Linked DNA regions of Anolis sagrei. The main gene of each other region encodes a partner of the protein of the gene in region 2 in a complex. Links are inferred from orthologs where the notes say so. Each region holds a gene or a part of one and is shown on either strand. Other genes may lie near its edges. The genes, in order: RAP1B and RASIP1.

Region 1 (16,277 bases), on a different chromosome or scaffold from region 2:
ACTAATCTGTAAGTCACTTCTGGTGTGAGAGAATTGGCCGTCTGCAAGGACGTTACCCAGGGGATGCCCGGATGATTTTTTGATGTTTTTTATCATCCTTGTGGGTGGCTTCTCTCATGTCCCCGCATGAGGAGCTGGTAGAGGGAGCTCAACCGCCTCTCCCCGGATTTGAATCTGCGACCTGTCGGTCTTCAGTCCTGCCGGCACAGGGGCTTAACCCACTGCGCCACTGGGGGCTCCTTATTGATCTAGGATCAGCCACCACTATAGGATCCCATCAAACACAGTTGAGCGAGTGGTGGTACAGAGAGAAGGCCCTCCCCAGATGACTATAGGTGTCTGACAGGTTCATAGTAGTATTGATCCTACTATGAACCTGTCAGACACCTATGGTCATCTGGGGAGGGCCTTCTCTCTGTTCCACCACTCGCTCAACTATGTTTGATGGGATCCTAGAGTGTGGAACTCCTTCCCAAAAGAGACCAGGCTGACCCCATCCCTGACATTGGAAAATTAAGATTTTTGTTCAAGAAAGGAGTCAATATTGAGAGGCATAAATGGTGAAGCTTATGTTGTTTTCTTTTGGCTAGGTGAGGATGGATCAGAGGTCATCTACTTTTTCTTTCCTTCTTTTCTTCCACTTTTCTTTTTGGCATTTTTGTATTTCTGATCTATATTTGTTTTATTGATTCATTTTTTTTTACTTTTAATGTGACTTTTAAAATAAAGTCAAAACATCAAACAATTGATGGCCCCATCCCTGCTTGCTTAACAAAATGCAAAGGACAACTTAGGCAGAAAAAAATGAAAAGCAAAGATACAGGATGAGTGATGCCTGGTTCAACAACTGTCCATGTAAAAAAGATCTTGGAGCCAACTGTGTGATGCAGCAACTAAAAAAGCCAATGGGATTTTGGGCTGCATGAAAAGAGGTATAGTGTCTAGATCAGTGGTTCTCAACCTGTGGATCCCCAGATGTTTTGGGCTTCAACTCCCAGAAATCCTAACAGCTGGTAAACTGGCTGGGATTTCTGAGAGCTGATGGTCAAAATACCTGGGGACCCAATGGTTAAGAACCACTGGTCTAGATCAAGTAAGCCATGGTGCCTCTCTATTCGACTGGAATACTATGTCCAATTATGGGCACTACAGTTTAAAAGAGATATTGACAAGCTGGAACATGTCTAGAGGAGGGCAACTGAAACGATCAAAGGTCTGGAGGACCAGGCCCTATGAGGAGCGGCTTAAAGCACTAGGTCTGTTTAGCCTGCAGAAGGGAAGGCTGAACGGAGACATGATAGCCATGTATAAATATGTGAAAGGATGTTCTAAGGAAGAGTGAGCAAGCTTGTTTTCTGCTGCCCTGATGACTAGGACTCAGAGAAATGAGTTCAAATTACAGGAAAGGAGAATCCACCTGAACATTAGGAAGAACTTCCTGACTGTAAGACATATTCAGCAGTGGAACTCCCTGCCTCAAAGTGTGGTGGAAGCTCCTTCCTTGGAAGCTTTTAAACAAAGGTTGGGTGGCCATCTGTTGGGGGTGCTTTGATTGTGCTTTTCCTGCATGGCAGGGGGTTGGACTAGATGGCCCATATGGTCTGTTCCAACTCTAGTATTCTATGATTCTGCAGGCAGGCAGACCTTTCTCTGTCAGCAGGTATTTGAGAAAGGATAAGGGATATTCTGGGGAGATGTGGGTGGAACTCGAGGGACTGGGACCTATGAGTTTTAAATACTATTTTTAATATATTTATTATATTTTAACTGTATTTTAACCTAAATCTACACATTTTTTTGTAGTCACTTTGTTTTAAACTGTGACCAATGTGTTTGATTGTTAACCGTCTTGAGTCCCAACAAGGAGAAAGGTGAGGTATAAATTAGATAAATAAATTGTATGCTATGGCTTGGAGACTATTCAAGGTTGAACTTCTCCAGTGTATTGAACATTGGGATACCTCTGTACTAAGTTCAGAAACCCCAATTAGTTCAAAACATGGCAGCCAGATTGGTTACAGGAACATCTAGTAGTGAGCATATTACATCCATATTAAAGTCACTCCACTGACGGCCAATTTACTGGCTTTGACCCTTAAAGCCCTACATGGTTTGGGTCCAGGTTACCTACAAGATAATCTTCTCCTGCACAATCTCCCTTTAGGACACGAGGTCCTCTGATGGACAGCTACTTCAGCCAGGCAGAACTGACTGGTGACTGTCACCCAGAGGGCCTTTTCATCAGCCACTCCACAACTGTGGAATGACCTGTTGGAAGAGATCTGACAGCTAAACAAGGTGTCGGAATTTAATATGCAATTGAAGACCCATCTCTTCTGGCAGCCTACCCAGTCAGCTTTCAATCATGAGTTTCATTTTACGTTATATCGCTACTATATGTCAATTCTGTATCTATGTTTGATACATAGCTATATATTTGTGTTTTTATCTTTGTAGTTTATTATATTTTTATGTTCATATATTTTTTAATTTGTTGTACCCCACCTCAAGCCATTTGGAGAAGTGGGTAATATATAAAGTGTATAATAATAATAATAATAATAATAATAATAATAATGGAGAAAAGATCTCCCACTTATAGAAAGATTTCTGCCTACAGAAGGGGTTCTTTCTTAAGGAATTTTTTTTTCATGTATGGATTCTCATTCTATTCAGAGGAAAGAAACAAGGTTTACAATCATGCATTAATACTAAGGATTTTAATACCGAACAAAAGTTTGCTTCAAAGTATTTGTGGAGGGCTACATTAGTTCCATAAAAGCAATGGTATCTGCACTATTATCACCACTTTAGTCTAGTTTGCTCAAAGCAACAATTAATTAAATCTGAAATAAATAAAAAGAGGATTTTGATCAGTAGACTCTCCTGATCATCATCTATTTGCATCTTGGATTGTTTTTCACAACCTAGAGATATATGCAAAGAAAACCAGATTTCATGGCAGCATGTATTTTTAAAAAGTTAGGAGAAAGTGTTTTTGGAACACCACACTCGTATTTCTATCACCATAGTACAGAGAGTTTTTATTGATAAGTCAAAAGAAGTTGCCATTCTTCAAAAATAAACTGCTAAAGTATACACAATTTGTGCTCTATCCAACCCTCATGGTCAACAGATGACTGTTTATATCCACAATCATGCTCTACTGGCGCAATAACACAGCACAAAGTCAAGAAGAAACCAAAGAGGCCCTACTACTTTTTGTAAATTTTCAGTTGTTCACCAATTAATTAGGAAGGGGGTCAGATGCAGCTGTCATAATAACATTTCTCTACATGTCTTTATGACTAAAAAATAAACACAATATTGGATTTGCTTCTGAAACTTGGCTATGGGAAGAGACAAAATTTCAAGCCACGCAGGTCTTTAGAGTGTCAATGTAAAAAACATGCCCAGATAAGGAATGGGACAGAGTTCATGCTATATAAAGTATTAGACCTCAAAGGTCCACATGACTCTATTGTTCTTGATGCAACAAACTAATATGGCTATTTTTGGAAATAGCATTTGCCAACAGTTTTCTCCCTATTCGGAAAAAAAGTTTTCATGACCTCTACACTCTAAACCACTTCACATTTTTCCCTACTTTCAAGGTAATAACATCTGCAGAGCACTATAGTAATGAAGCCTCACGTGTATATTTGAGACAAACCTTATGATCGAAACAAACACAACTGCTGAATAGAAGTTCCAGACAGGCACTAGACACTACTATATCCTGACTTTCTAGACATGGGGCTAATTGCAAAAGCACCCCAAGGCCAGAATACTAAAAGGACAGCCACTCTCCCCACCAATTACAGGGTTTGACAATTTTCATTTCAGCCTTGTCTGGTTTCAGTTTAACACAGGAAGTTACTGAAATATTGAATTAGGGCAAGTTAACAGGAAACTGAAAAGGTATCAGCACAAGATTATGAAAAAGCTGCCAAATAAGAGATGCAGGCAAAACAGGATTTTAAATGACTGCTTATTGTACGGCATATGAGGAAACACTGAATGAGCTGGCTATGTTCAACTTAATACAGAGAAGACTGAAGGCTGACATGACTGCACTTTTTAAATACTTCAAGGGTTGTCACACAAGAGAGGGAGAAGGTCTATTTTTGCTGCCTTAGATGGTAGGACCACATCAAATGGTCTGAAGCTGCAGAAAAGTGGATTTCCATTGAACATTATAAGGAACTTCTTCACAGTAAGAGCAGTGCCTAGAGATGTGGTGGGGTCTCTTTTTCTTGATCTCTTTAAAAGGAGTCTGAACAGCTACCTGCTGAGGATGTTCAATCATGCATTGTTGGACTGGATGGCCCATGAAGCCCCTCCCTTCCAATACTATGACTCCAAGGATTTCCATTTTGAAAACTTCACTAGGCTACAAAGACCTGCACTCTTTATCATAATTTAGCACAAATGAATACTCACTGGTTTTAGTAATACTTGTGCAGAGCACTGCATTCGTGTCCAAGGCACTAGGGGCCCTTCCACACAGTCCTATATCCCAGAATATCAAGGTAGAAAATCCCACATCATTTGAATGTGGACTCAGATAACCCAGTTCAAAGGAGAAGCTGTGGGATTTTCTGCCTTAATATTCTGTGTGGAAGGGCCCTAACCATCTGCTATTTGATCTTGATTTTTGTAACAGGGACAAATGATACCCAGGTCCCTTCCATACAGCCCTATATTCCAGAATATCACAGCAGAAAATCCCACATTATCTGAGCGTGGACTCAAATAGCCCAGTTCAAAGCACATAGTGTGGGATTTTCCGCCTTGATATTCTGGGATATAGGGCTGTGTGGAAGGACCCCCAAAGATCTGTGATCAATTAAGTATTCTCTAACCATTTCATTATTGGTATAGTCCCTGCCCACCTGCATCTGAATCCAACCCAAGTGCTAGGACACTTAGGCCCCTTTCATACAGTGGAATAAAATTCCACATTATCTGCTTTGATCTGGAATATATGGCAGTGTGGACTAAGATAACCCAGTTCAAAGCAGATATTGTGGGATTTCCTGCCTTGGTATTCTGGGTTACCTCACTGTGTGGAAGGGCCCTGGAACTTAAGCAACCAGGACGCTCAAGCAAGTGGCAAAAATGAAGAAATACTTTAAATAAAATTTTAAATAGATGTATAATACAATAAAACTTCAAAAGGTAAATTAAAATTACATAATGCAGAAGCCAAGCAGTTTTTATAATACAGCAAAACTGAGTTACATTAAGTTTGTCTTGGGGCCCTTCCAGGCAGGCCCTATATCCCAGGATCTGATCCCAGGTTTTCTGCTTTAAACTGGGTTATATGAGTCCATACTGTCAGATAATTTGGGATATTTTATATTCTTATGTTTTTTACTGGATTGTTCTATTTTACTGTGCCCTATTTTAATTGTGCTTTTGTTTTAATGGATTGTTTTGCTTTTATGTCTTGTGGGCATTTTGACCCATATGTAAGCCGCCCTGAGTCCCTTCAGGGAGATGGTGGCAGAGGATATGAATAAAGTTATTATTATTAAACCAGGACTACCTGGTGGCGCAGCGGGTTAAACCACTGAGCTGCTGAACTTGGTGACTGAAAGGTTGGCAATTCAAATTCGGGGAGCGGGGTGAGCTCCCACTGTTAGGCCCAGCTTCTGCCAACCTAGCAGTTTGAAAACATTCAAATGTGAGTAGAATAATAGGCACTGCTTTTGGGGGAAAGTAACAACGCACCATGCAGTCATGCCGGCCACATGGCCTTGGAGGTGTCTATGGACAAGGCCGGCTCTTTGGCTTGGACATGGAGATGAGCACCATCCCCCAGAGTCGGACTTGATTAGATCTAATGTCAAGGTGAAACCTTTACCTTTTATTATTAAAACCTGGGATCAGATCATATATTTGAAAAAAATCTCTGAATATAAGGTCTGGGGACTTTCTGTTTAAAAATAAACAAAAGGTTAACTTTGCTAGAAATATGATTCATTGAAAAAAACACAGATCAAGGCCCCTTTTACCCTGCACTATATCCCAGGATCTGATCCCAGATTATCTGCTTTAAACTGAGGGTCCTTCTACACAGCCCCATGTCCCAGAATATCAAGGCAGAAAATCCCACATTATCTACTTTGAACTGGAATATATGGCAGTGTGGACTCAAATAGTCCAGTTCAAAGCAGATATAGTGGGATTTTCTGCCTTGATATTCTGGGATATAGATCCTAGATTATATAAATCTGCACTGTCAGATAATCTGGGATAAATAGAAAACCTGGGACCAGATCCTGGGATATAGGGCCTGTCTGGAAAGGCCCTAAATCTGCTTTCAATTAATACCATATTTCATTGTGAACACCCTATCAAGACTGCAAAGAGTTTATGAGGCACGCAGTATTAGTTAGGCTTATTTGTAATTTTAGAAACAACTCTCAAACAACCAGAAACTACATTTTTCCAGCACCAACCAATTCTCATGGGTGCTGGATAGCAAAGGGCCCTTCCAAACAGTCACATAACCCAGAATATCAAGACAGGAAATCCCACAGTATCTGCTTTGAACTGGATTATCTGAGTCCACACAGCCCTATATCCCAGAATATCAAGGCAGAAAATTGCACAATACCTGATTTTGAACGGGGTTACCTGAGTCCACACTGCTATATAACCCAGTTCAAAGCAGAAAATATGGGATTTTATTCAGCTGTGTTGAAGGGCCCAAAGAGTCTACTGTGATAATATTAGGGGAGAATGAAGGCTTTTCTACACAGTCCTATATCCCAGAATATCAAGGCAGAAAATCCCACAATACCTGATTTTGAACTGGGTTATCTGAGTCCACACTGCTATATAACCCAGTTCAAAGCAGAAAACGTGGGATTTTATTCAGCTGTGTGGAAGAGGCCAAAGAGTCTGCTGTTATAATATTAGCGGAGGATGAGGGCTTTTCTACACAGTCCTATATCCCAGAATATCAAGACAGAAAATCCCACAATATCTGCTTTGAACTGGGTTATCTTGAGTCCACACTTTGAACTGGGTTATCTTGAGTCCATATAACCCAGTTCAAAGCAGAAAATGTGGGGTTTTATTCAGCTGTGTGGAAGGGCCCAAAAAGGCTACTGTGATCATATTAGGGGAGAATGAGGGCTTTTCTAGACAGTCCTATATCCCAGAATATCAAGGCAGAAAATCCCAGAATATCTGCTTTGAACTGGGCTATGAGTCCACACAGCCTTATATCCCAGAATATCAACACAGAAAATCCCACAATATCTGCTTTGAACTGGGTTATCTGAGTCCACAGTGCTATATAACCCAGTTCAAAGCAGAAATTGTGAGATTTTATTCAGCTGAGTGGAAGGGCCCAAAGAGTCTACTATGATAATATTAGGGGAGGGCGAGGGCTTTTCTACACAGCCCTATATCCCAGAATATCGAGGCAGGAAATCCCACAATACCTGCTTTTGAACTGGGTTGTCTGAGAATATCTGCCTTGATATTCTGGAATCTAGGACTGTGTGGAAGGACCCCAAGACTCGATTAAAAAAAAACCGCATTATTCCCCCGAGGAGCTGAAGAACTGCTGCTGAAAGGCCGGTGTGGGCCGCCACCCCTTCCCTTCCCTTCAGCCTTTCAATGCGGCTCCTTGGTGGAGGGGCAGTTTCTCTGGCAGGAAAATAGGAAGCGGAAGAGGCCTATGGCAGAAGTGAGGAGCGGCCGCAGAGCTTCCCGCTGAGGCCGAGAATGGAAACAGGCGGGGCTGAGGGAGTCCGGCCGGCCGGCGAGAACTTTTTCCCCCGTTATAAGGCCCGGGTTCCCTCTCATTCCCCTCAGGGAGGGGGCTCCAACTTTTCCCCCTTCTCCAAGTTCTCCCGAGGAAGAGGAGGCGGCCATTGAAAGGGAGGAGGGGGAGGAGGGGGGAGCAGCCTTCGCCCGGCATCTCTCTCTCCACTGAGGGGAGCGGCCGGGCTCGGTTCCGCCTCCGCCATGTTCTCTCTCTCTCTCTCTCTCTGTGTCGCCTCAACCGCCTTCCTCTCTTCCTCGACTCCCCCTCCCTCCTCTCTCCTCTTCTCCACAGGCTCGCTTCTCCTCGGAGGCAGCATGGCGGCCTCGACTTACCGGACGGCGCTGCCGCTCCCCGCCGCCGCCGTCCTGGCCAAAGCTCCCTCGCCTTCTCTCTCTCTTGTCCCGCCCTCTTCCCCCTCCCTTCTGACTGGGCGAGGCTTGGAGCCGTTGCCGTGACGCTGCACGCGCAGCCTCGCGCTGGCTTCCCGTTTAGCGCTCGCGCACAGGAGGAAGGAGGAGGAAAGAGGGAGGGGCCACCTCTGCTCCAGTCGGAATGCGCATGCGCGGAGGGACTGCAGCCTTCTCTTCTGCCTTTCTCTCCCCTCCCGCCCACCCTCTGTTCCTGAGGCGAGCTCGCCGCTCGGAATGCGCATGCGCGGAAGAACTGCAGCCTTCTCGTCTGTCTCCCTCCCTCTTGGGGCGAGTTTTCTCCGCTCAGAATGCGCATGCGCGGAGGAACTGCAGCTCTTTCTTCCTCTTCTCCCTCTTTCTGTTCATTTATTCTTTTCTTTCTTCCTCTCGTAGGTCCCCCATTCGCTGCAGTAACCGCCCAGTTAAAGAAAAGGCGGCCGAGGAGGTGGAAAAGCCACTCCACAATTACACTACGCTGTTAAAGCGATATTGTTCCGCTTTTATTCATAGAATCATAAAGTTGGAAGAGACCTCATGGGCCATCCAGTCCAACCCCATTCTGCCAAGAAGCAGGAATATTGCATTCAAAGCACCCCTGACAGATGGCCATCCAGCTCTGCTTAAAAGCCTCCAAAGAAGGAGCCTCCACCACACTCCGGGGCAGAGAGTTCCACTGCTGAACGGCTCTCACAGTCAGGAAGTTCTTCCTCATGTTCAGATGGAATCTCCTCTCTTGTAGTTTGAAGCCATTGTTCCGCGTCCTAGTCTCCAGGGAAGCGGAAAACAAGCTTGCTCCCTCCTCCCTATGACTTCCTCTCATTGCTTGGCTGTCTCTTGTGGATTCCTGGGATTTGCAGTTTTAAGGGGATGAGGGGGGGGGGGCTTCTCGGCCAGAGAGGTCCTGAACTACATTTACACAAGGCATGGGTAATTTTCGGCCTTCCAGTTGTGTTGGACTACAACTTCCACAATTCCTAACAGCCGGTAGACAGTTAGGAATTGTGGGAGTTGAAGTCCAAAACACCTGGAGGGGCGAAGTTTGCCATGCCTGATCTACACTGTGGAATTAACGCTGCGTGGTGCCGCTTCAGCTGCCAATACTAAGGACTCCTAGGATTTGTAGTTCTTGCAAAACTACATAGAACTCCCTGGTTGACTCTGATCTAGGCCTACCTTTTGAGGCCTTTGTGACTATAAAGTGGGAAGGAAGAGCTGCCTTGACGGTAAAGGTGGGCTATATAGTTGACCTTCCTCATTTGTGGGTTATATTTTTGCAGATTGGTTATTTGTTGATTTTTTTTTCCGTGTGAGGAGCGGCTTGAGGAACTGAGAGAATTGGCCATCTGTACAGACATTGCCCAGGGGACGCCTAGATGTTTTTATCATCCTTGTGGGAGGCTTCTCTCATGTCCCTGCATGAGGAGCTGGAGCTGACAGAGGGAGCTCAACCCACTCTCCCCAGATTTGAACCTCTGACCTGTTGGTCAGCAGTCTTCTGGCACAAGGGTTTAACTCATTGCGCCACCAGACAGTTGATACGAATAATATGTTCCCTCCAGGAATCTCTTGGTCTTCCAGTGCATTTCTGTGGTCAATTTCCACCTGAAATTGACCATAAAATCGGACTGGAAAACCTAGAGATTGCTACAAGATGTTCTAGGTGACTATAGTAACTTCCTGTGAAAGTGATTCATTTAGCGTTGGTGGTTCAGTGGGTTAAACTGCTGACACGCTGAACTTGCTGACTGAAAGGTTAGTGGTTTGAATCCAGGGAGCGGGGTGAGTTCCTGCTGTTAGCCCCAGCTTCTGCCAAGCTAGCAGTTCAAAAGCATGCAAATGTGAGTAGATCAATAGGTACTGGTCCAGCGGGAACGTAATGGCGCTCCATGCAGTCATGCTGGTCACATAACCTTGGAGGTGTCCACGCAAAATGCTGGCTCCTTGGCTTAGAAACTGAGTCAGACACGGCTAGACTTAATGTCAGGGAAGCTTATTTATACTGCTTATGTTATTTGTTATTTTATATATTTTATTATGATGTATTCTTGCTGCTTTGTGTCTAATTATGTTGTATTATTTTGAGTTTGGCCTCATGTTAGCCGCCCCGAGTCCCCTTTGGGGAGATGGTGGTAGGTTATAAATAAAGTTTGTTATTGTTATTATTATTATTATTATTATTATTATTATTATTAACTTTTACCTTTACTATTATCTATAGTTTTCCGTTTCCACACTACGTTCAGGAATGTATTCCCCATAGATGTGGGTGTTGTACTGTAGTTTAATGTAATCTTAATTTTTGTATGGTTTCATTGTATTTTTTTTAATTGTAAGCTACTTTGAGCTCCAATTTTTTTTGGGGGGGGGGGGGGGAACAGGATACAAACAACAACAAACAATCCATTTTCCCCACACCATTGTGACAGTTGTTCTATATTCCTTTGTCTTGAATACTAACCCATCAAAGTTAACAATAACAAAAAAAACCCCTACTCAGATGTAAAACTTAATATCTTTTAGGCTCACATTGCAATTGTTTATATAAGGGACTGACTAAATATGCACAGGACTGTTTTGTTAAGCTCATTACAACAAACTGCTTCTCTTCCTGCCAGTGCAATTTAGGTCTGACTAACTTTAGATAAATTGGGTCTTGTGTAAAACTGGCAGGAAGTTGCAGTGGCAGTGACATTTGTAGGAAAGGGAGTGGTGGCAGAAAGAGAGACAAGTTCCTCACAATAAAAAACACTATGTTCTTTCCAAAGTGTCTTGCTATCTTTAGTTCATTTTGTGAAATTCTTGCAGCCTGCCCCTAAACATAGTTACTCCAGAGTAAGCTGGGCAAATAATAAAATGTACTTTTCTGCCAACTTGGTTAGAATAAAGCTAGTTGTCCATATAAATACTGCTGTAAGATAAAGGTAAAGGTTTTCCCTTATATTAAGTCCAGTTGTGTCCAACTCTGGGAGTTGGTGCTCATCTCCTTTTCTAAGCTGAAGAGCTGGCGTTGTCCATAGACACCTCCAAGGTCATGTGGCCAGCATGACTGCATGGAGCACTGTTACCTTCCCAACAAAGCAGTACCTATTGATCGACCCACATTTGCATGTTTTCAAACTGCTAGGTCGGCAGAAGCTGACGCTGACAACAGGAGCTCACCTCACTCCCCTTGTTTAGAGTTTTATGTGCACAAGTGTATAATAGAAGGCATGGACAGACTTCAGCCCTCCAGGTGTTTTGGACTTCAACTCCCACAATTCCTAAGAGTCGACCGGCTGTTAGGAATGGTGGGATTTGAAGTCCAAAACATCTGGAGGAACAAAGTCTGCCCATGCCTGGTATAAAGGCATGCAAAAGAACAAAGCCTCTGACAAATGGTGCATCTACACTGTAGAATTAATGCAATTGGACATCACTTTAACTGTGGAATTATAAGAATTGTTGTTTACAAGGTCTTTAGTCTTCCCTGTCAAAGAGTGCTGGTGCCTTACCAAATTACAACTCCCTTGGCAGTTAAAGTGATGTCAAACTGTATTAATACTGCAATGCAAATTTATTCAAAGAAGCCACTATTTTACTGCCTCAACCCTTTTCTAGGTTTTTAGCAATATTGGGGACTGGAGAAACATAATATTTCAGTGTCAGATAACAGAAACTTGTCTGCAATAAACAATGCAATGAAGCTCGAGGTGGAAAAATAGGACTCTACTCAAACCAGCATGGTGTAATGGTTTGAGTATTGGACTACAACTCTGGAGATCAGGGTTCAAATTTCCGCTCACACATGGAAACCTACTGAATGACTCTGAGCAAGTCACACTCTGTCAGCCTCAGAGGAAGTTAAAGGCAAACCTCTCTGATGAAATCTTGCCATGAATGGCTCAACTATCTTTTGTTGGTGAGCAATGAATGAATCAAGCCTCAGATTAAGACATGGCTCTCTTGTGATACGATACAATACAATATTTTTATTGATTAGCCCTTAGGCCATATCACAATACTAAACCAAACAACAACAACCCACTTTCCTAGTTCCAATAGACCTCACTACCTCTGAGGATGCTTGCCATAGATGCAGGCAAAACGTCAGGAGAAAATGCCTCTAGAACATTGCCATATAGCCCAAAAAAACCTACAACAATCCAGTGATTCCGGCGATGAAAGCCTTCGACAATACATACTTCAACTTTGTCTCTAATATTCTTCCCTCCAATGAGCAGTCGGGCTTTATTTCCTGAAGTATGGACTGTAAATACAGTAAATACGATAAAACTGAGTATATACATCATATTTCCTTATTACACCTATAATTTACCCCGATCACCCCACATATGTTCTCAAACGTATTGTTTTGCTTAAATACAGAGCTGTTTTATATGTTATTTTTGGGTCTTGGCCACACATAAAATGTGTTCTGATGTGAGATTCCCAATACATTGTCCATTTGGTATATGAACCAAGGTAGAAGTCGCTTGAGATAGGGAGTTAAGACCCAAGGATCAAAACACCCTTTCCCCATGTGTTCAGGACTTGCAACAAAGACTGTTCAAGGATGCATCTACACTATGGAGTTAATGCACTTTGAGTTAATACCATTTCAACTGCAGGGGCTCAATGCTATGGAGTCATGGGACGTGTAGTTTGATGAGGCACAGCATGCTTTGACAGAAGGCTAAAGGCCCTGTAAAACTACCATTCCCATGATTCCATAACACTGAGCTTTGGGAGTTAAAGTGGTGTCAAGACAGCATTAATTTTGTAGTATAATGCTCCCAGAGACACAAGGATAGGAGCAACCTTTAGTGACTCATTCCATAAATCAGGGAATTAGGCATTAAGAGATGAGAGTTTCAGATCTACTTGAGCGAGTGGAGAAATGGTCCCATTCATGGTTAGAAAACACATCCGCAGCAAAAGAGAAGGAATTCCTGGAACTCAGACCTACACTGCATGCTTCACAGGACAGTTACAACTAAGCCCTGATGTAGATAAGCATCAGACATAGAACAGGGCACATATTTTCTTCCCAGTGTCACAGAGTTCAGGAAGATCTATAGCCAGATGGATTAATTTTTGTTTAGCAGCAGAAGATCCTTGCTTCAAATCCCAGAATATATTGCCTGGATGGCATTCTGAAACCAATCTGGAGGAGGACAACATGGGCTGCAAACTTGGCACCTTCATGGACCAACCAGCTCTTGGTGGTCATCCTGCCTCTTCAGAGCCAATGTGCACAATAGCAATTCAGCAGGACTCCTTCCCCGACACCTGGCAGCAACACCCATCATAAAAATGCTGCTTGAATTACAATCCAAAGCTAGTAGAGACTCTTGGAAGGGTTGCTGCCTCTTGAATTCCCCATCCTCCTTGTTTGCCCCATTCAGAGTCCAAAGCAAGCCCATATTAGGATGAAGAACTGCTATCTAGCCTTGACAACAAAGAAAAAAATGGCACAGTTGATCAACATCCAGGATGGAGCTGCTCTTGAATAGGGAAAGACATGCTGAGTTTGCCAACAGTTCACTCCAGGAGTGGTGGTGTGCCAGTGAAAATGGCTCGGTAGGCAGCAGAGCAGCTCCATGATGCCAAGTCAGTCTTAGTCAAAAACATAGTTACTTGGAAAAGTTCCATTAAAAGGCAAGATAACAAGCAAGAACAAAAGTACTATTCATCAGGCTTTGTGGGGATAAAGTTACTATCACAATAAGGGTGACTACTACCCTAAACATTCAGTAAGATGTGATACTCTCATATATGCAGTCCCTGTCCACGAATATGCAGAATTAAATGTATCCATGTTAACTGAATATGTACCTATTTTTCAAACCTTCATGTGTGATTTATGGATAGTTGGGAAATTTTAATCCAATGAATGCTGTGTTATCCTCTCTTTAGAAACACTTTGGTGGGTTTTTAAAATATTTATACAAGACTAAACCACAATAGTTACAAATCATTATCTGTAGGAAGCTTGGTAGACTAGATACATCACAGATACATACTAGTTCTCTGGTTGAACTTCCTCTGTAGAATATCAAAAGCATCAACCAGAGGGAGCAGTTTTTGCTGAAGCATTGTTAATAACTACAGGTGTAGCCTTATTTATTTATTTAGCAAATTGACGGTACAGTTGTAATGTATTTAAAAACACAGAGTTAAAAACGAGGTATTATATTAGATTTCCTTTGATCAGAAGCTGGCCAATTGAAGTGCCTCTGGTGTTGCTGTAAGAAGGTGCTCCACTTGTGCATGTGGCATTGAAGTTGGTGGTCTGTGGTTTGCTCTTCTCCACACTTGCATGTCGTGGACTCCATTTTGTAGCCCCATTTCTTAAGTTTAGCTCTGTATCTTGTGGTGCCAGAGCGCAGTTCGTTCAGCGCTTTCCAAGTCACCCAGACTTCTGCGTGGCCAGAGGGGAGTTTCTCATCTGGTATCGGCCACTGATTGAGGTTCTGGGTTTTAATCTACCACTTTTGGACTCTTGCTTGTTGAGGTGTTCCTGTGAGTTCCTGCAAGATGTAGTCTAATGAAAAGATATAACAAGTAGGAGGGGTAGGTTTTTAAAATTACTGATCTTGGATATTCCTGGTTTCAAATAAGAAATGATTATTCATATGACACTTTATACTGCAAATATTTTCTATAATTACTTTATTATTTATTTTATTTATTTCAGACATTTATATCCTCTCCTACTCACCCCCAGAGGTGGACTCAGGGCAGCTTACAACTGGCAACCATTAGATGCCAACACCAATTAAACACAGTTAAATATTAATTAAACTTTAATAAATACATGTTTAAAATAGGAGCTTTCACCCTTGCTCTTGAACATTTTAAAACATTGAAAAGGGGTTGTGTGGTTTTCCTGATGTTGTTTTGTCCTGGGTTTATTCCTGGCATGACAGCTCTAATATTTTACAATCAGGACATGCAGAATTGAAAGCAGAATAAGAGGTAATCTTTATTGCTTCAGTCATCAAAGAAGGATGCCAGGGAGCATCCCAGATCTGACATGCCCTCCGTTTACACATACTGGTATTTTATGGCCATTCAAAAGAATAGGCATTGCTTCAATTGGTACAAATTGCTATCCAACGTTTCATTGGTTAGATGTACATTCATTGTTGTCATGTTTTACAGTGTGCGATTGGTAGATTAGGTCTAGCTGGAACTTTCTCGAAGTTTTTATTGGAGGAAAACCTCAGTTTGTCCCTTCTTCTGGCAGGGCCCTTCTGGTCAGGGAAATGGGAGCCAGTTAGGGGACAATGGAGGTATTGATTATTATCATTGTGGAATGGTCCTTAAGAAATGGGATTTTCTTGTTCCCTAGATGAAACAATAGGGAGAAGGGCTACAGTGATGGGTTTTGTGGTTGCTTTAGGTGGAATATATTATGTCCATATATGATCAGTTGCTGGTAGAGATGTTATTTTCTATCTCTTTATTCTTCAAAATTGGACTCAAGATAGCTCATGCATGTGTTAAACAAAATATGTGCATTAGAAATTAGTGGTAACAAAAAATTAAAACACAGTTAAATATAATACCATGTGGAGACATAAATATTTTAAGACAATAAAATAATTTCAAACCATGGCAAGAATAATTTTAAAATGTAACAACAATGCAGCACACACCTTCCATCAGAAAATTTTTATTTTTCACTAATAATGCACTACACTGTAGAATTAATATAGTTTTACATCACTTTAACTGTCATAGCTCAGTTCCTTTGAATCATGGAAGTTGTAGTTTTCCAAGGTCTTCACCTTACTTTGCCAAAGACGGCTGATGCCTCACCAAATTAAAACTCTCAGGGTTCCATAGCATTAAGCTATGACAATTAAAGTGGTGTCAAACTGCATTCATTCTGCAATGTAGATGCACCTTTAGTGACCAAATGCTTCTTTTCATAAAATCTTCACTTAAGTGGTAGAGAGTCCCATAGCCTGAGAACAACCACCAAAAACATGTGAAAAGCCTCATGTTTTCTATCATTTTTATGAACAGACAAAATGAATCCTACCATTCGGTAATGTTTGCTTGCTGGAAAAATATCTTCTGGGACTGACACT
Region 2 (15,404 bases):
GCGGCTCTAAGCCTACATTGTTCAATCAGAAGATTAGACATATCTTCTTTCGTTTGTATTCTTCTGTTCTGATATATTTTTTAAAGACATAACTGAAAGCATGAGGGGAGGAACAAGAGCACTGTTTTGCCCACAACCATAAAGTTTAGTGTCTTGTATTTATTTTTTAAAAAGACAGCACAAATGTCATTGTCAAATATCAAATTTATATCATGGACATGCATGCAGACTTTAATAGAGTGCATCGTAAGGGAATGTGGAGAGTAAGAGTTGTCCTAAAAGAAGGGAATGGTTCTGAATTGTTCTGAATCGGTATAAACATTATTTACCCAAACAGCCTCTTTGACCAGCTGAGCAATCCTGGCTATCAATCTGGGGAGATGTCCTGGTTCTAGTTCCCTGGCAGCATGCTCCAGACACAGCCCAAAGAGAAAAGCAGGGCCCAGCTTGCATCCAGGAGTCTCCTGAAGCCTCACAATTTCAGCCAAGAGAGCCTCCTGCTCTTGGGGCCGATAGCGCAGTTGAGGTTCTCGGCTCTTCAGATAGGCCCGAAACGCCTCTTGCCGTTCCTGCAGGGAACGGCCACAAGCCTGGCATGCCAAGGCCCCTACCAACCCTGGGGACACCCACGCTTTGGGCAACCAGGCAGGTGGCACGGCTGCAGCCCGTGGGTCCTTATACATGAAGAGGAAGTGCTGCCCCATCCCTAGCAAGTCTCCAGGGGCCAGCTCCACCTGGCGATGGAGTGGGGCACCATTGTGTGTGATGGATGCTCCACGGAAAGGCCGCACCATGGCAGAACCCCGGGGCTGGCTGGGATCTGCGGGGGGCACCGAAGACACCACGCAGCAATGGCGTGGCAGAATGTCTGGGGCACTCAGGAATGTGTCCACATAGTTGGATTGGTCTGAGGCCTGGCGGCGTTCAGGACGTCCAAATATGTGTCGCCGACGTGTCATCACATGGATCACAAACTCCTGTGAAGAGAGGAAGGAGAGATTTGAAGGAGGCAGAGAAGAAATGGTAAGCAATTGTGACAAGAAGTGTAAATATTAAATAATCTCTTCAGTGCATATGAGGACAAATAATATGTAGTTTTCTCCCCATTTTGTGTGTGTGTTTGTGATGGGAATACAGTATTTCTTTATAGCTCTCAGTCAGTATTTGCATGTCTTGAACTGTTTGTCAAGACCAGGTTTTTCTGTGTGTATGGAAAATGTTTGGGTATTTCACAAATAATAATACTATTGCACGCATAGAAAAATGTGGGCTTCTGGAAAGTGGTTTTCACATTAAAATGACCTTCCAATGTACATTTTTACACAGATTTACTTGTCTAAACACAGCATGGTAAGGAAGAAATAAGATATTCTGTGGTGTGGACCCTCTTTGAGGAGGCTCAGATTGAAAGCCATAAACAGTTTGGGACGTTGATACTTGAAGGACTGCTTCTCTCTATATAAGACTGAGATCAATTGGAGATCTGTGTCCCACTAGTGACAATACACTATATGGTGATGTGAGTGTGGACTTTTTCTGCTATGGCCCCCAATTTATGGAGTTCCCTTCCCTTGGAGGTCCACTTGGTGCAAACTGTCTTCTTTTAGGGACCAAGTTAAAATACAGCTTTTTGCTAACACCTGTGTAGTCTAATTTCTTTCCATTTTGATGTACATGTATATGATTTTGTTTTATTTTATTATACTTTTGCTTTTAAAAACTGTTTTGACTCATCTATATGATGTACCTTTGTCCTATTTATTTTATGTTTTTATTTTGATTGCTTTTTTGCATTGCCTCAGTTGAATGCTATTTTGAGATCTCACAGCAAAGGGAAGTACATAAATATTTCAAATTAAAATATAAATATTGTCACAGTGAACTGGCACAAGACTGAAACAGGAAAAAACTTGCCTGCTTTTCATTGTAGCCCAACAACTGTAAAAAATAAGGGTGTTCTGTTGGTGGCTGAATGAGGCACTGGGTGAGCTGCTCTAAACTGGCCACATCCACGGCCTCTTCTTCGGAGGCTGGAGGAGCTGATGTGCCATCCGCGGCTACTTTGAGCCGTGACTCCTCAGAGGGACTCCCTTCTGCGGGTTCTCCTACGGCCATGCTGAGCACACCTTTGCGGTCCTTGCGGCGTTTTATGCTGAGGTTCATCTCACTGATGCTGCGACGGAGGGAGAGGTTGTCTGCCCTCTCTTTGGGGGCTGCATGGCCTCCTGAAGCTGCCCGAGAGCGGCGGGATTGTTGCCGACGATTCTGGGAATTGCCACCTTTGGGAGATGGAGAGGAATAGAGAAGGAAAGTATTTAAATATAAGGTGAACTAGAGAAGAAACAGAAATTTTCATGTTAAAAAGTTATCTCAACCCTCTGTGATCATCAAATTCAGGTCATGGGAAAGGTTATACAATATTACGTAACGGCCACGGAAAGGCAGAGATGAAGGGACATATAGTGTTTGTACAAATGGAGGTCAGCTGTGACCAGCAGAGCTGTAGAATTTGAAGAGGCATGAATGGAGGGCGAAAGAGAGAAACATGCCAAGAGGAAAGTGTGTCAAGCCAACCCCAACCGGGACCGCCTTCCATCTGGAAACCAATGCCCTCACTGTGGGAGATGATGCAGATCAAGAATAGGGCTCTACAGTCACCTACGGACCCACTGCCAGGACACTACACTTGGAGGACCATCATCCTCGGACTACGAAGGATCGCCTAAGAAGATGAAGGTACAAGTGGATGGCTCCCAGAACTTACATAGGGAAAACTGCAATCCAAAACAACTTTCACCAGCTCTGTACTATAGAACAGTCACAGGATACTTTTGTGTTTGCATTTCTCAACCTTTGGGTCCCCGGGTGTTTTGGCCTACTACTCCCAGAAATCATAACCAGTTTATCAGCTATTCTGGGAATTGAAGGCCAAAACATCTGGGGACCCACAGGTTGAGAATCACTGCATTAGATCAAGGTAAGAATAATTCAGTTGCATTGTGCAAAAGATCATAGGCAAAAGATCATCATTCTCTCTCCATCCATGATCTTCTGAGACACCACATGGAAGTGATTAGTGTTCCCTAGTCTAGGGTAAGGAGAATAACAAGACTAATGTTTTTGTCCTTGGAGTACACCCCCCTTGTTCAAAGGTCGGTCTATCACCCCATCTCTCTATGAGTTCTTACAAATAATTCTGCTCCTTTATCTCACCCTGAGTTTTTAAATCATTTTATGTACAGGCGGCCCGCTCACTGTCATTATGTTTGGTTTACTGCTCTTTTTTGTATTTTGTTTATTTTAGTCATATGTTATGTATTTTACTGTGATGTTGTTTATTTTATTGTCACTTGTATCTTATTTTATTGTAATTTGTTGTTTGGGCTTGGCCTCATGTAAGCCGCCCCAAGTCCCCGTTGGGGAGATGGTGGCGGGGTATAAATAAAGATTATTATTATTATTATTATTATTATTATTATTATTATTCTAACAGATGCCCTCCATCCCCTCCTAAAAGTCCTTGAGACTATTCTGCAAGAAATTCTCATAGTCTCCAATTAATGGAGCTTCCTTTTCTCGCTTCACATACTCCTCCCTTTTCCAGGTCCTTGGCTGAAATGCCCAGTGGGAAAACTTCAACTGGAGCTTCAGCTTTGTGCATTATATCAGTAGGTGAGGGCATGGCTCAATGTTGGGATGTAATCGTGCTGGCATCCTGACATCATTGAATTGCCCAGAGCTAGGGCTTGGGGAAGTCTATCCACCTGTTGGCTAGATATCCACACACCTGCCCTATTGCTTGTCTGCAGCTTTTGGTATATCACCATATGCACCTCTGACTATAGATATTCAATTTCATAGCTTTCATGTGGAATTGCCACTGAAAGACCCATTTATTTATTTATTTACTGTATTTATACCCTGCCCTTCTCAACCCCGTAAGGGACTCAAGGCGGCTTATATATTACCTATATAACAATTAGATGCCAAAAAACAACCATAATAAAAGCATATGCATTAAATAATTTCTCCAAGTTCGTTATGCATTGGGCATGGAAAGACTTCAATTCTTGGTAACTCTTCCTCACTACCATAAAGACAAGAAGACTATCCTTCATTTTCTTCCCACTGCCCATGGAAGCAAAGCACCGGAAGATTTTTGGTATCTTTACAGTGGAACACCAGAACAGAATTTGGAAATTTCATTTTGAGACTATAGCTCCTAGCCATGCTGTCTTGGGGATTCTAGGAGTTGTGGTTGTAAAAAGTAACCTTTCTAAGTTCTGGACAAGATCTATCACGGGGTGGGGGGAAAGTCCCATTTGGGATATCTCAAGCACAACATACCTGCATCGTCATCCTCGCCTTCTATCATTCTCTCCACATCACATCGCCGCCGGATTTCAAAACGACGGGTGCAACCAGTCTTGGGTTTCCACACATCCTGCAGTACGAGGGGCCGTTCGGAGTCACCCACTGCTCGGAGGTGCTGGGCCTGCCAGGTGCCATCTGTGCTATGAACACTGCCGACAACATCACACAACACGTAGGCATCTTCAGCATTGGCCTGTGCCACACCATAGCGCTCCAGTGCCTCTCTCACCAGCTGGCGAGCGGTGGAGCGCACAGTGGCCAAGACACTCTTGTAATTGGCACCTGAGGAGATGTCTCCACCATAGATCTTCAGGATTCCTGGCACTTCTCCTTGGGATGGGGGCTCGACTCGGTCTTCAGGCAAAGGATCAATGAGGTCAGCCAGTTTCTTCTCACTGGCCCAGCGGCCTGCAGTTCCACTGGTTGGGCCTCCTGTTCCTCCTCTCTGGAAGAGTGTTGACAGCCTCTTATGTCGACTGGCCTTATTCTTGGTGGCTGGCCGCATCTCCACGGATTCACTGCCACGGCTGGCTGTATCTGAGGATGTTGACCTGTGAAGAAGACAGAAATGCTAGAAGAAGTAGGCTTGGTTGTTGTGAGTTTTCCAGCTGTGTGGCCATGTTCCAGAAGTATTCTCTCCTGACGTTTCACCCACATCTATGATAAGCATCTTCAGAGGTTGTGAGACTTCACAACCAGGCCATTAAAGCCTTTGACAGCACAGAAGTAGGCTTGATTTCAAACCAAAACTACAGTGCACCAATCAGAGTTCTATAAATGTGAAATTAACCATTCTCTGAAATATGTAAATAAGTTTAGAGAAATAAATCATAAATCTGTACAAAAAGGTCCCAATTTGACAAGAAAAGCTCCAATTTATTATGCTTGTCTTTTTTCTCACCCCCTTTTAAAAATGTCCTAGCTTTTCTCTGTCCCTTCAACTTTTCATCTTTGTTGCAAACTTACTTTAACTGAGTTCAAAGTGTAAAAATAGTTTGCATGCAGGAGCAGAGGAAAGGGTGAAATCATGGCCTTCCCAATAGACTCGGTCAACAGCAAATGGCTGGAGCTTCTCTTTGCTTGTGTGTTTCCTTATTAATAACTTTGGCTATCTTGACTACACTCTGATATTGCTTGGCCACATTATGTCCTGGTTGCCATCTGTGAAATGTTAAAAGCTTCAGCAATGAAGAAATAACTGAAATTCCCATCAAAGAGAAGAGAACCCTGGACGTATGTATTAAGGATGATAAAAATTAACAAGGACATTTAGTTCAAAAATATAAGTTTATCAAAAACTGAAAACAAGGCTTGACATGAAGCTAGTTGCTTGGGCTTCCAGGCGAAGAGAAGCACTTACTTGACCGACCCCACGCTTGGCCACCTGCGTCCCAGCTTGGCAAAATGTTTCTTTGGGGAGTTGATCCAAAGGCCAACAGGAAAGTGAAGCTTCCCAAAGCGGGGGCTCCCGTCCTTCCGCTCATCTGAAAACATGGCCACAGGGACCAAGAACCTTTGAGAGGAAAAGTGAAAGAGAGAACACAAAAGGTCAATTCTTAATAGATACTGATTCCAGGAATATCTGGGCTTCCATCTTCCATTCCATATACAGAAACTGTCAATGGAATGGAGGGGTGCCATCTTGGGTAGCAAAGGAAAGAGTCTCAACTGCTTAAGGCCCATGTTAATATATCCTTCACACTCTTATTTTGCTCAAGGTCCTTTCAAAATGTAGTTTATTACCTATAAAGCTCTATAGCTTCGCGTTCAACCTATCTTTGAGACTGCATCTCTTTCTATGAGCCAGCACGGGCACTAAGTTTTATCAGGGAGGCCCTACTCTTGGTCCCACCCCCATCTCAAGTACAGTTGGTGGAGACGAGAGAGAGGGTCTTCTTGGTGGTGGCCCCCCGGCTTTGGAATGCCCTCTCAAGGGAGATCAGACTAGCCCCCACTCTCCAAGCCTTCTGTACACAATTGAAGATATAGTTTTCAACAAGCCTTTGACCAAATGAATATATGCACTTTACAAGACTGATCACAGATTATTATTATTATTATTATTATTATTATTATTATTATTATTATTATTCCTTGTATTAAAATCCAAATCCCACCAATTTCCAAGGGAACCCTTGGAACTATCCCTTGCCCATTGTTCTTTATGTATTCTGTACAAAAGTACAGCATTCCTGCATTATAGACTTAAAAGTGAGATCAAAGCTAAATGTCTGCTCTGGCCACGAGGGGGTGAGTCAGAATCTCTGAGTCAAACCATGACGTCAACAGGAAAAAGATGAGATAAGAGTCAGGATAGCTGGAGCCTCACCTCAGAGAGGCACCCCTTCAATTCCTTGGTTCTTAAAGATGGAACATGATCAACAGGGTTGGATCTTTGTGTTCTTACTGATTAACGTACTCATGATCCAAAATTGGGAAGTCAAATATTCACTCCCATCACTGTCTATGAGAAGAAGAACCTAGTGGTTTAGCCATTCATGACACTTATTGTATGAGTGTCAACTCCAGGTCAATGTATTTTTGCCCACATGGTTAATTCATATTAACATACTAGGCCTAGTCAACATTCATATTCTATGCGTTTATAGCCCCACCCTCTTCTCTTCCTGCTCCCCCCCCCATCCCCTTGTTTTGCATTTAGATTTTAAAATTAATATTAATAATGCAATACAACGTTATCCTACACAGGTGGTAAACCAACTATCTTCAATATACTGTTTTGTAATGGTATGACCCCAAGCTACCCATTGAAGCAGAAATTCTTGCTTTGCCTTACATTGAGCTCAGAGCCAATTAGAAATTTATGTTTCCCTCCAAAAGGGTTTTGGTGTCTGTTCCTCCCATTCTACCAGCTTTCTGGTCCTTCTAGAATAGTTCTTTGAGGTGGTAGCACAGAATAGGAAGAGAAGGCAGGAAGGAATAAGCTTTCGATTCTGTGGAATGGGATCTAATGAATCTGCACACAGACAAGCAAAGAGCTAGGATTGCTGGGTTTATAAGAGGAAGCAAAAGACAAGATGAGAAGGATGGCTTAGACCAGATCTCCTTGAGTTGCCTTTGAGATGTGGGGAAGAGGGGTGAAAATACACACATATCCATGCCCATTTTACCACCTGTTTGATGTCCATTCCCAGTTTTGAATTCTGCGTATCAATCTACAGGATTATTGGTACATGCATACAGCTATAGGTTTAGCATTGTTACCTGCTCCAAAGGGAGTCCTAGCTGGTGCAGTCTCCAGATGTTACTCTCTCTCATGCATCCTACAGCCAGCCAGGCTCCATCTTCTTCTTCTCTAGGATACGGTGGCCAGTCTCTGCTAGGGCGTTCTTGTGTGCGCTGTGTGACTTAAGTCCGGCGATGACTGCGCACGGATTTCCTCTGGTCATTCACACACAGGAGGTGGGGCAGGAAAAGGAGATGGGGGGAGCAGGAAACTGGCTGGGAAGCAGGGCCTCTCCCAAGAACTGGGGGGGGGGGAATGGGACAGAAAGGCGAAGACATCTGAACTAATAGATGCAGGGCCAGGAAATCCCTGGCAGTAAAACTGAGATGGGGAAGGGGTGGATTTAAACAATTAGAAGTTGGTTCCTTGACACTTCATACTACAGTTGCCAAATACTTAGGCGTACAGACACAATAATTTGGCTGGCCTTGGAGGAACCATGGGAAAGACCTGCCTGGACTGACTCATCTTTCTGCTGTTGCCAACATTTGCCCTCAAAAAAACTTGCCAACATTCTTACTACTCTAGCAGAAGCTAGGTAATGGTGTTAACAAGCAGGTTCAGCATTCTTAACTTCTTATGCTAAAAACATTTATTTACTTATTTATTTAAAGCATTTATATTCTGCCCTTCTCACCCCAAAGGGGACTCAGGCCAGAGCACAACATATATACGGCAAACATTCAATGCCGGAACATAAAATAAACTATAAATATACATAAACACTAAAATCAGTTATCTCCACTTTAAAATCAATTGTTTAAAACCATCTCAGATCTTCCATACTGAATCTGATCAGAAGGGTAAAATTTGCTATCGTTGCCTTATTGCACTGTCCCAAAGGTTTGGTCCCATAGCCAAGTTTTTACCATCTTTCTGAAGGACAGGAGGTTGGGGGGGGGGGGGGGCTGATCTAATCTCACCAGGGAGGGAGTTCCATAGCTGTAGGGTGATCATTGAGAAGACCTTCTCCATCATCCCTGTCAATTATGCCTGTGATGGTGGCAGGACCGAGAGTGGGGCCTCCCTGGAAGATCTTAATCTCTGCGATGGTTCATAGAGGGAGATGCATTCAGATGGGTAGATTGCGCCGGGGCCATTTAGGGCTTCATAGGCCACAGCCAGGACTTTGAATTGGGCTTGGTAGCAAACCAGTGGACCTGACACAACATGGGAGTTGTGTGCTCCCTGTATGCCAACCCAGTTATTAACCTGGCTGCCTCTCGTTGGACTGTTTGAAGCTTCTGAACAGTCTTCAAAGGCAACCCCACATAGAACTCGTTGCAGTAGTATATCCTAGAGGTAACAAGAGCGTGGACTACCATGGCCGTCTGACTTTCCAAGGTACAGGTGCAACTGGCATACAAGTTTTAATAAAGCCCCCCTAGCCACCACCGCAACCTGAGGTTCCAGGCTCAGCAATGAGTCCAGGAGAACTTATGCTAAAAACATCAATTATTTTCAATCAGCTGGCAAGACTCTGTTCCAAAAAGCAGTACTTGAGGTGGCATACCTATGGCTGAATCCTATTCTTGTTAGTATCCGGTTCCTATTACTGGCTGAAAAGAGGCTATGCAGTAAAATGTGCCTATCTCGTGCCCATATTAGCTGGTGATACTGATATGATGAAAGAAATAGTTACAGCGTTGATCCTAGTGTGGACAATGATAGTGGATCTCTGTGGCAGGTTTGTAAAATTGTTAGGCATTCTAATAAACACAATTTATAGCATATTGATATCATTTCTACTATCATAGACAAATTAGTATTATTTGTAGTTTGAAAGAATTTAGATTCTCTGCACTGGAGCTTTCTAGCAGATAATTCTCACCAAATTATATGTGCCAAGATTTTGTCTGATAGAGGTGTGTCCATGGGCATAAAACTGCTATAAATGGATAATGTGTATACACCATAGAACAGGCATCTTTAAGCTGAGGCCCTCCAGCTGTTTGGACCTCCAACTCCAAGAATTCCTGGCCATTAAACAAGCTGGCTAGGTCTTCTGGGAGTTGGAGGGCCAAACAACTGCAGGGCAAAAGTTTGTGGATGCCTGCTCTAAAATGTTGTCCATCAGAGAGTTGTTTCACACTAGTCCCATTAGTGAGAATAAGGCTTGTTTTTCAATTGATTTTCGTCTATTGAATTGTACACTCAATGGAATCACAGCTGGCAGGCATAATGTACGGCCAACCAAACGGTCAGTTTCAGAATCCCCACATCAACTCCACATTTCCTAAACATCAACTCCAGATATCCCAAGTCAACCAGTTAATCAATTCCTTGGATGAACAGCTCAAAACCTTAGTTTAACATATACTGCATGTTGGTGATTCTATTCTAGGGTTTTCTTGGCAAGCAAGATGTATATTGGAGGCTGGCTATTGCCTGCCATGAAGTGAGAGAAAATAACTTGCTGAAAAGTCCCCCAGTGGGTTTCCATGACGGATTGTGGGTTTGAACCCTGCTTTCTTGGAGTCATAATCCAATATTCAAATCACTACAACATGCTGCCCCTTAAGATAATTATTATTTATCTTTAAACTAAACTCAGACTGGCTAGCCCTCAAACAGAAGAAAATCCTCGGTAAAGCCGTAGTGGGACACTCAGCAGCACTCGAGGTGGCAGTATGCACAGTAGTGTACTGCGGAGGTCAGGGAGTAGTAACCTTGTGCTTGCTGCCAGGCCTCTGAATACTACATGTGCATAACTGTATTTCCTACACCTGTTTCCTCAATCATTATTCTAGGAAGAGACTTGTTTTCCCTTTGCCACACTCTTCTTTATAGGCACACTTGCTCTTTTTCAGTTGTCCTTGCAGGGTGTGTTCAGTCACTTTCCCCGACCCCAGCCAGGATTTTAGGTGTGTACCTGCTCAGTACGTGAGCATTCATTTCCCTCACACCCTTGTGTTCTGTGCCAGCATCTTTGGGCGTGGGCAGGGGAGTTGTGTTTATGCCTTGACTTCACACCTTTTGTATTCATTACTTCGGGTGTCTACTGGGCGTGCATTTGCTACATCCATTTTTTTAAAAAAAAAAATCCAATAAACCCTTAGAGTTAAGGGAGCTTCACTGTTTTTATTGAATTGTTTCTTAACTGTGTTTAAATCCCTTATTTTTAATTTTTGAAATATATTATGAGTAGCTTATTTCAATTTTAATATTAACCTTTGTATGGTTTAGTTATATTACTTGTTTCTTTTATAATTCATTTTTATTTGAATGACTTAGACATAGACAAATAAAACAAATAGACAAATTTTAGCATTAATTAAGAAAATTATGTATACATGTATGTATGTGTGTGTGTGTATTAAACATAAAAAATATTTTTTTTACTTTTTTCTGTTTATTATATATAAAGGCTCATAGAAGAATAAAAAAAATTCTTGATAGTAAGGCATTAGGAAATAGGGAATGAAAATGTTGCATTTTTATATTTTCAGTAATAAATATTAGAAATGATTTTTCTCTTAATTTTCTTTACAATTTTTATTGGTAGGTTTTAAAAAATAAGTTCACAAACATATCTGAATAATTCAATCTGCTGAAACAATTCACAGCTTGGTTGATCAATCTAGACGGGGTTAGAATAGAATCATAGGGTTGTAATAATAGCCATTGTGAGGACTTTCCAAGGGTATCTCCATTTTAGATGAAGAGGACTGGGAGATTCATATTTTGCCAGCAAAAGTTCCCTGTGCACGCTGCTCATCCCAGCGCTTTACCTGCAGAAAGGGAAAGCAGACAGGAAGTTGGGCACCTTAAGAGAGGAAGCAAGACATATGGATCCACAGCAAAATAAATCACATTATATTCTTTTCCCTCCCACACAATCCCTATATAGTTGTGTGTCTTCAAGTTGTGTCTGGGGTTGACTACACAAGAAAAAGAAAACAGTGACTATCTTTATTTGGGTGCTGTAGGAACACATGACACATGATCATTTTAACAGTGAAAGAGCTTTTTAAAGGCTGTAATGTGTTGTTTTTTTTTTAATCTATAGTTTCAAGAGGGGGAGTATTTTTTTCAGTGTGTCTATCTGGATCAAGGTGGCATTGAGGAGTGGGGAGGTTCAAATCAGTGGATGGCAAACCACATTTTTTTTAAAAAAATGTCTAATTGGGGCCCTCATTGCTGAAAAGGCAAAACAAACAGTGCCTGTCTCTTTGGGGCCGGCAAAGCATTACCTCTGACTTCCCTGTCAAGCATCATCCCAGCAGAGCCCCACTTGGTCTGAAGTCAGGAGGTGCTGCCTAGCCATGAGATTGGGGGGCGGGGGGGGGGGGGGGAGCAATCCATATGTTATGCTGCATGCATCATTTGTAGCAAAACAGCATGTTCTTTACTCTAATATGAGTATGTGCTAACTAGATATACATAGGGGATAGTTTGAAACTTTGTTTTGGTTTTTCTTAAAACTTTATTTTATCCAAATTATTTTTAAATCTGGAATTATTTCAAATCCTTTTTTAAAATGCTTCCCTGATATCATGTTTGAGAGCAAGATAGACATATTCTAATAAATAAATAAATAAATAAATAGCTTCAGATTTCACATTTAATACCAGTGTGCTGCTTGACTCTTTTTGCAATGCTTGCTTAGGAATTCAAATGTCACGTACCCAAGAAATTGGACATAGGGACTTGTAAACCCTGTGGTACCACTCACATACTGCAGTGTCCTTTCCTTTGGCTTTCATAATCTTCACACATCGGTAATAATCTGTAAGGAAGAAGGAGAAGCGACGTCATAACATCTTTTGAAGTGCTGTCAGTGTCTGCCTAAACTGAGTCATTTAATATTTGTTTAATGTGCTTAATCTGCTTCATAGCTGTGTTTAATGAGCTTCTCAGTTATGGCATCTGTGTCGTGCATAGCCAGGAATACCCTTCTCTCTCTCCACTGAAAATCAAGCTAACCAAGAATACTTTCCAATATTTCACTCTTAATCTACCAAGGAAATATGGCTGAAGTAGAATGACATCTGACCCTATTTTGCTTTGGCTCCTGAGACACTGGTCCTACCCATGTTTACTCAGAAGTCCCATTATGTTCAACAGGACTTACTTCCAAGGAAGTATGATGGGAGCTCAAGATGAGAGCATTCAAGAATGACAAGGATGGTCAATTGGGTGTCCAGAAGTGTTCTGCCTACAGCTCCCATCATTCCAGCCTGTATCACTAATGATGAGAAGATATAGGTGCTGTGGTCCAGACACATTTGGAGGGCCACAGTTGCAATCCTGAAGTGACTCAAAATATAACCCTTGCTGTCAGGTTGCATCCTTCTTTCTTGAATGAAATAATTTAGTATTGCATTTAATTAGTTGTTTGTCAGGCATGCTGCAGATTCAGAGTTAAAGTAGAGTCTCGCTTATCCAACATAAATGGGCCGACAGAATGCTGGAGAAGCGAAAATGTTGTATAATAAGGAGGGATTAAGGAAAAGCCTATTAAGCGTCAAATTATGTTATGGTTTTACAAATTAAGCACCAAAACATCATGTTTTACAACAAAACGACAGAAAAAGTAGTTGAATATACGGTAAGTGTATGTAGTAATTACTGTATTTACGAATGTAGCACCAAAACATCGCAATGTATTGAAACAGCTGTGGATCTCGGCAGGAGGCAGACTGCATTGGAGAATACAGAACGCTGGATGAGCAAAGGTTGGATAAGCAAGACTCTATGTGTAAATAACATACAAAGCTGGAGGGAAAAATACTTAAGCTTGTATGATCATTGTTACCATTGTTATCATGTCCCTCCAAAATATAACAGAAACAGTTCAACATCACAAATAAAATTCATTCACTGCAATGCATCTATCCTCTTTTAAAACTCACCCAAATAATTCTGATAACAGTTACGAGTTTGGTTGGTGTTTGGAAAACGTGGGTCAAATGGAGCTGTGAGATAGTCGCCTTGTTTTTTCTTCAGCTTGGAGAAGTCTTCAGCTGCAAAAACTTTCTGCATTTCTGTGAGGCAGAGAAAGAAAACTCATTCAGAAGAACTGCCACAAAAAACCCCAGAACAATCCCAGCCACCCACTCTTGCTTTTTAGAAAATGTTGGAACTCTGTATCTGAGTGATATCTACCAATTTTTCTGGTGGAAAATTGCCCCAAAAGATATTACAAGATTAAGAAATGGCAATGCTTTTCTAGGCCAATCCAACCTGTATCTTTAGCTGAGCAGTTACAATATCTTCTTATCTACAAAACATTCAACCACGTTCAATGCTCCAGTGGGAAGGAATCCCACTAGAGCATTGAAGCACACCAAAATACCTGTGAGTTACCCTGAACCATGCTTTGACTTACAAGAAACACTGCTTGACTATCAGCAAAATTGGGTGCGAGAAATAATGTCATATGAAAGCTGCCTGGCACAACTGGGAATCATAAACTCCCTCCTGGGCACACATAAGACTACCAATGCCTCAAATCAAGAAACAGCTTTCTAAGATCTACAGAGATACTCGCAGGAACACCTCAGGAAGCAGTTCAAAAGTGGCTGCTTGAAACCCGGAACCTCAATCAGTGGCTGAGACCTGAGGAAAAAACTCCCTCCTGGGGACACATAAGACTGGGCGACTTGGAAGGTACTGAACAGACTGTGTTCTGGCATCACGAGATGCAGAGTCAAACTTAAGAAATGGGGCCACAAAGTGGAGTCCACAACATGCGAGTGTGGAGAAGAGCAGAACATTGTTTGGATACTTTATAAATACCAGAGATCTACAACAACAAAAACTGTGCCCTATTGAGATATTTGCCCCATCTGCCCAAGGATATTCAGACCATTTTATTCTCAGTGCTTAGATTACAGTATTGTGTTATTTCCCTATGAAATTGAGCACTACCTACTGAAGATAAGAGTTATCAGCATAATTGTGCATTCATATAGGTTCTGAATTTTCTTTGTAGTGAACACAGCTATTGTTTGTACAGGAATTTAAAGAGAAATACTCCCCCACCTCCAAATTATAACACACGGTTACAACATTTTCAACAAATTTTAGCCTTTGAGTCACCCTTGAAATGATATGGAAGTGAATTGAGAGATTATTAACAATGCAGTCTAGGAGCCCATCCAGACAGTTCCTTTATCCCAGGAGCTTCCGCAGCAAATAGGAGAGTGGCCAAGCGCCATTCCCTGTAAACGCTGAAGCAATTGCTACAAAAGGCAAAACATGTGAGCATTCCAGGTGTGGGAATATTGCAGTTTTTAACCAAATATGCGAATCTTCACATGTCTGTATGTCCCTGTAATCGGAAATCACAGGTTTTTTAACTGGGCTTGTTCCCAGGTTTTAGATGTTTGTTCCTGATTGGTTGGTTCCTAAAAGGGTGACACTTGAGTAGAAGGCAAAAACTTTGTTTTTGTTCCAGGTACTTCTTGACACGTGTGGAGGGCACATTTTCTGTGGCCAGGACGAAGTTGTGGCCCACGAGTCAATGTTGCACATCTTTTCACAAGAAGAGCGATCAGGAATAGCCACGTATAACCCAGGAACAGCACCCTGCTGTTTGATGCCACAAGTACACAACCAAATCTGTCTGGGCAGGTGACCAGTCAGCCAGGCTCTTAAAAGTGTCAATAATGGCAAAGTTCTGTTCCTGGCTTGAAAGTGTGTGCTCCTGTTTGAGAAGTGGTCCTAACCCATAAGCTTTGTGTGGCAGATACTTCATGAAAAATATGAACGGCACAGTTTCTCTGGCCAGGACCAAGAACAGAACTGTTGCAGTGATTTGCTGCAGTGATTCTCCGTA

The links.
Region 1: the proteins of RASIP1 (region 2) and RAP1B are in contact, whole or in part, in a crystal structure (PDB 5KHO), measured with the Homo sapiens proteins. The link is inferred for Anolis sagrei from reciprocal best matches to the Homo sapiens genes RASIP1 and RAP1B. Residues at the interface, in NP_060275.2 of Homo sapiens: Val147, Lys149, Ala156, Ser157, Gly158, Ala159, Asn160, Tyr161, Lys162, Ser163, Val164, Leu165, Glu181, Arg182; in NP_001010942.1 of Homo sapiens: Val24, Gln25, Asp33, Pro34, Thr35, Ile36, Glu37, Asp38, Ser39, Tyr40, Arg41, Glu54, Leu56, Phe64.

The regions. Positions count from the first base shown.
Region 1 is NC_090025.1:143,044,011-143,060,287, reverse strand, and holds the start of RAP1B (ras-related protein Rap-1b), read right to left. Parts: upstream 8,295-16,277; 5' UTR 8,122-8,294; intron 1-8,121. UniProt on the Homo sapiens protein: GTP-binding protein that possesses intrinsic GTPase activity. Contributes to the polarizing activity of KRIT1 and CDH5 in the establishment and maintenance of correct endothelial cell polarity and vascular lumen.
Region 2 is NC_090026.1:18,470,298-18,485,701, forward strand, and holds the start of RASIP1 (ras-interacting protein 1), read right to left. Parts: upstream 7,866-15,404; 5' UTR 7,600-7,865; intron 5,888-7,599; 5' UTR 5,869-5,887; coding exon 5,735-5,868; intron 4,926-5,734; coding exon 4,348-4,925; intron 2,280-4,347; coding exon 1,915-2,279; intron 978-1,914; coding exon 330-977; intron 1-329. Other genes in the region: COX6B2 (cytochrome c oxidase subunit 6B2), read right to left, coding at 11,299-11,352, 12,250-12,350, 13,477-13,606. UniProt on the Homo sapiens protein: Required for the proper formation of vascular structures that develop via both vasculogenesis and angiogenesis.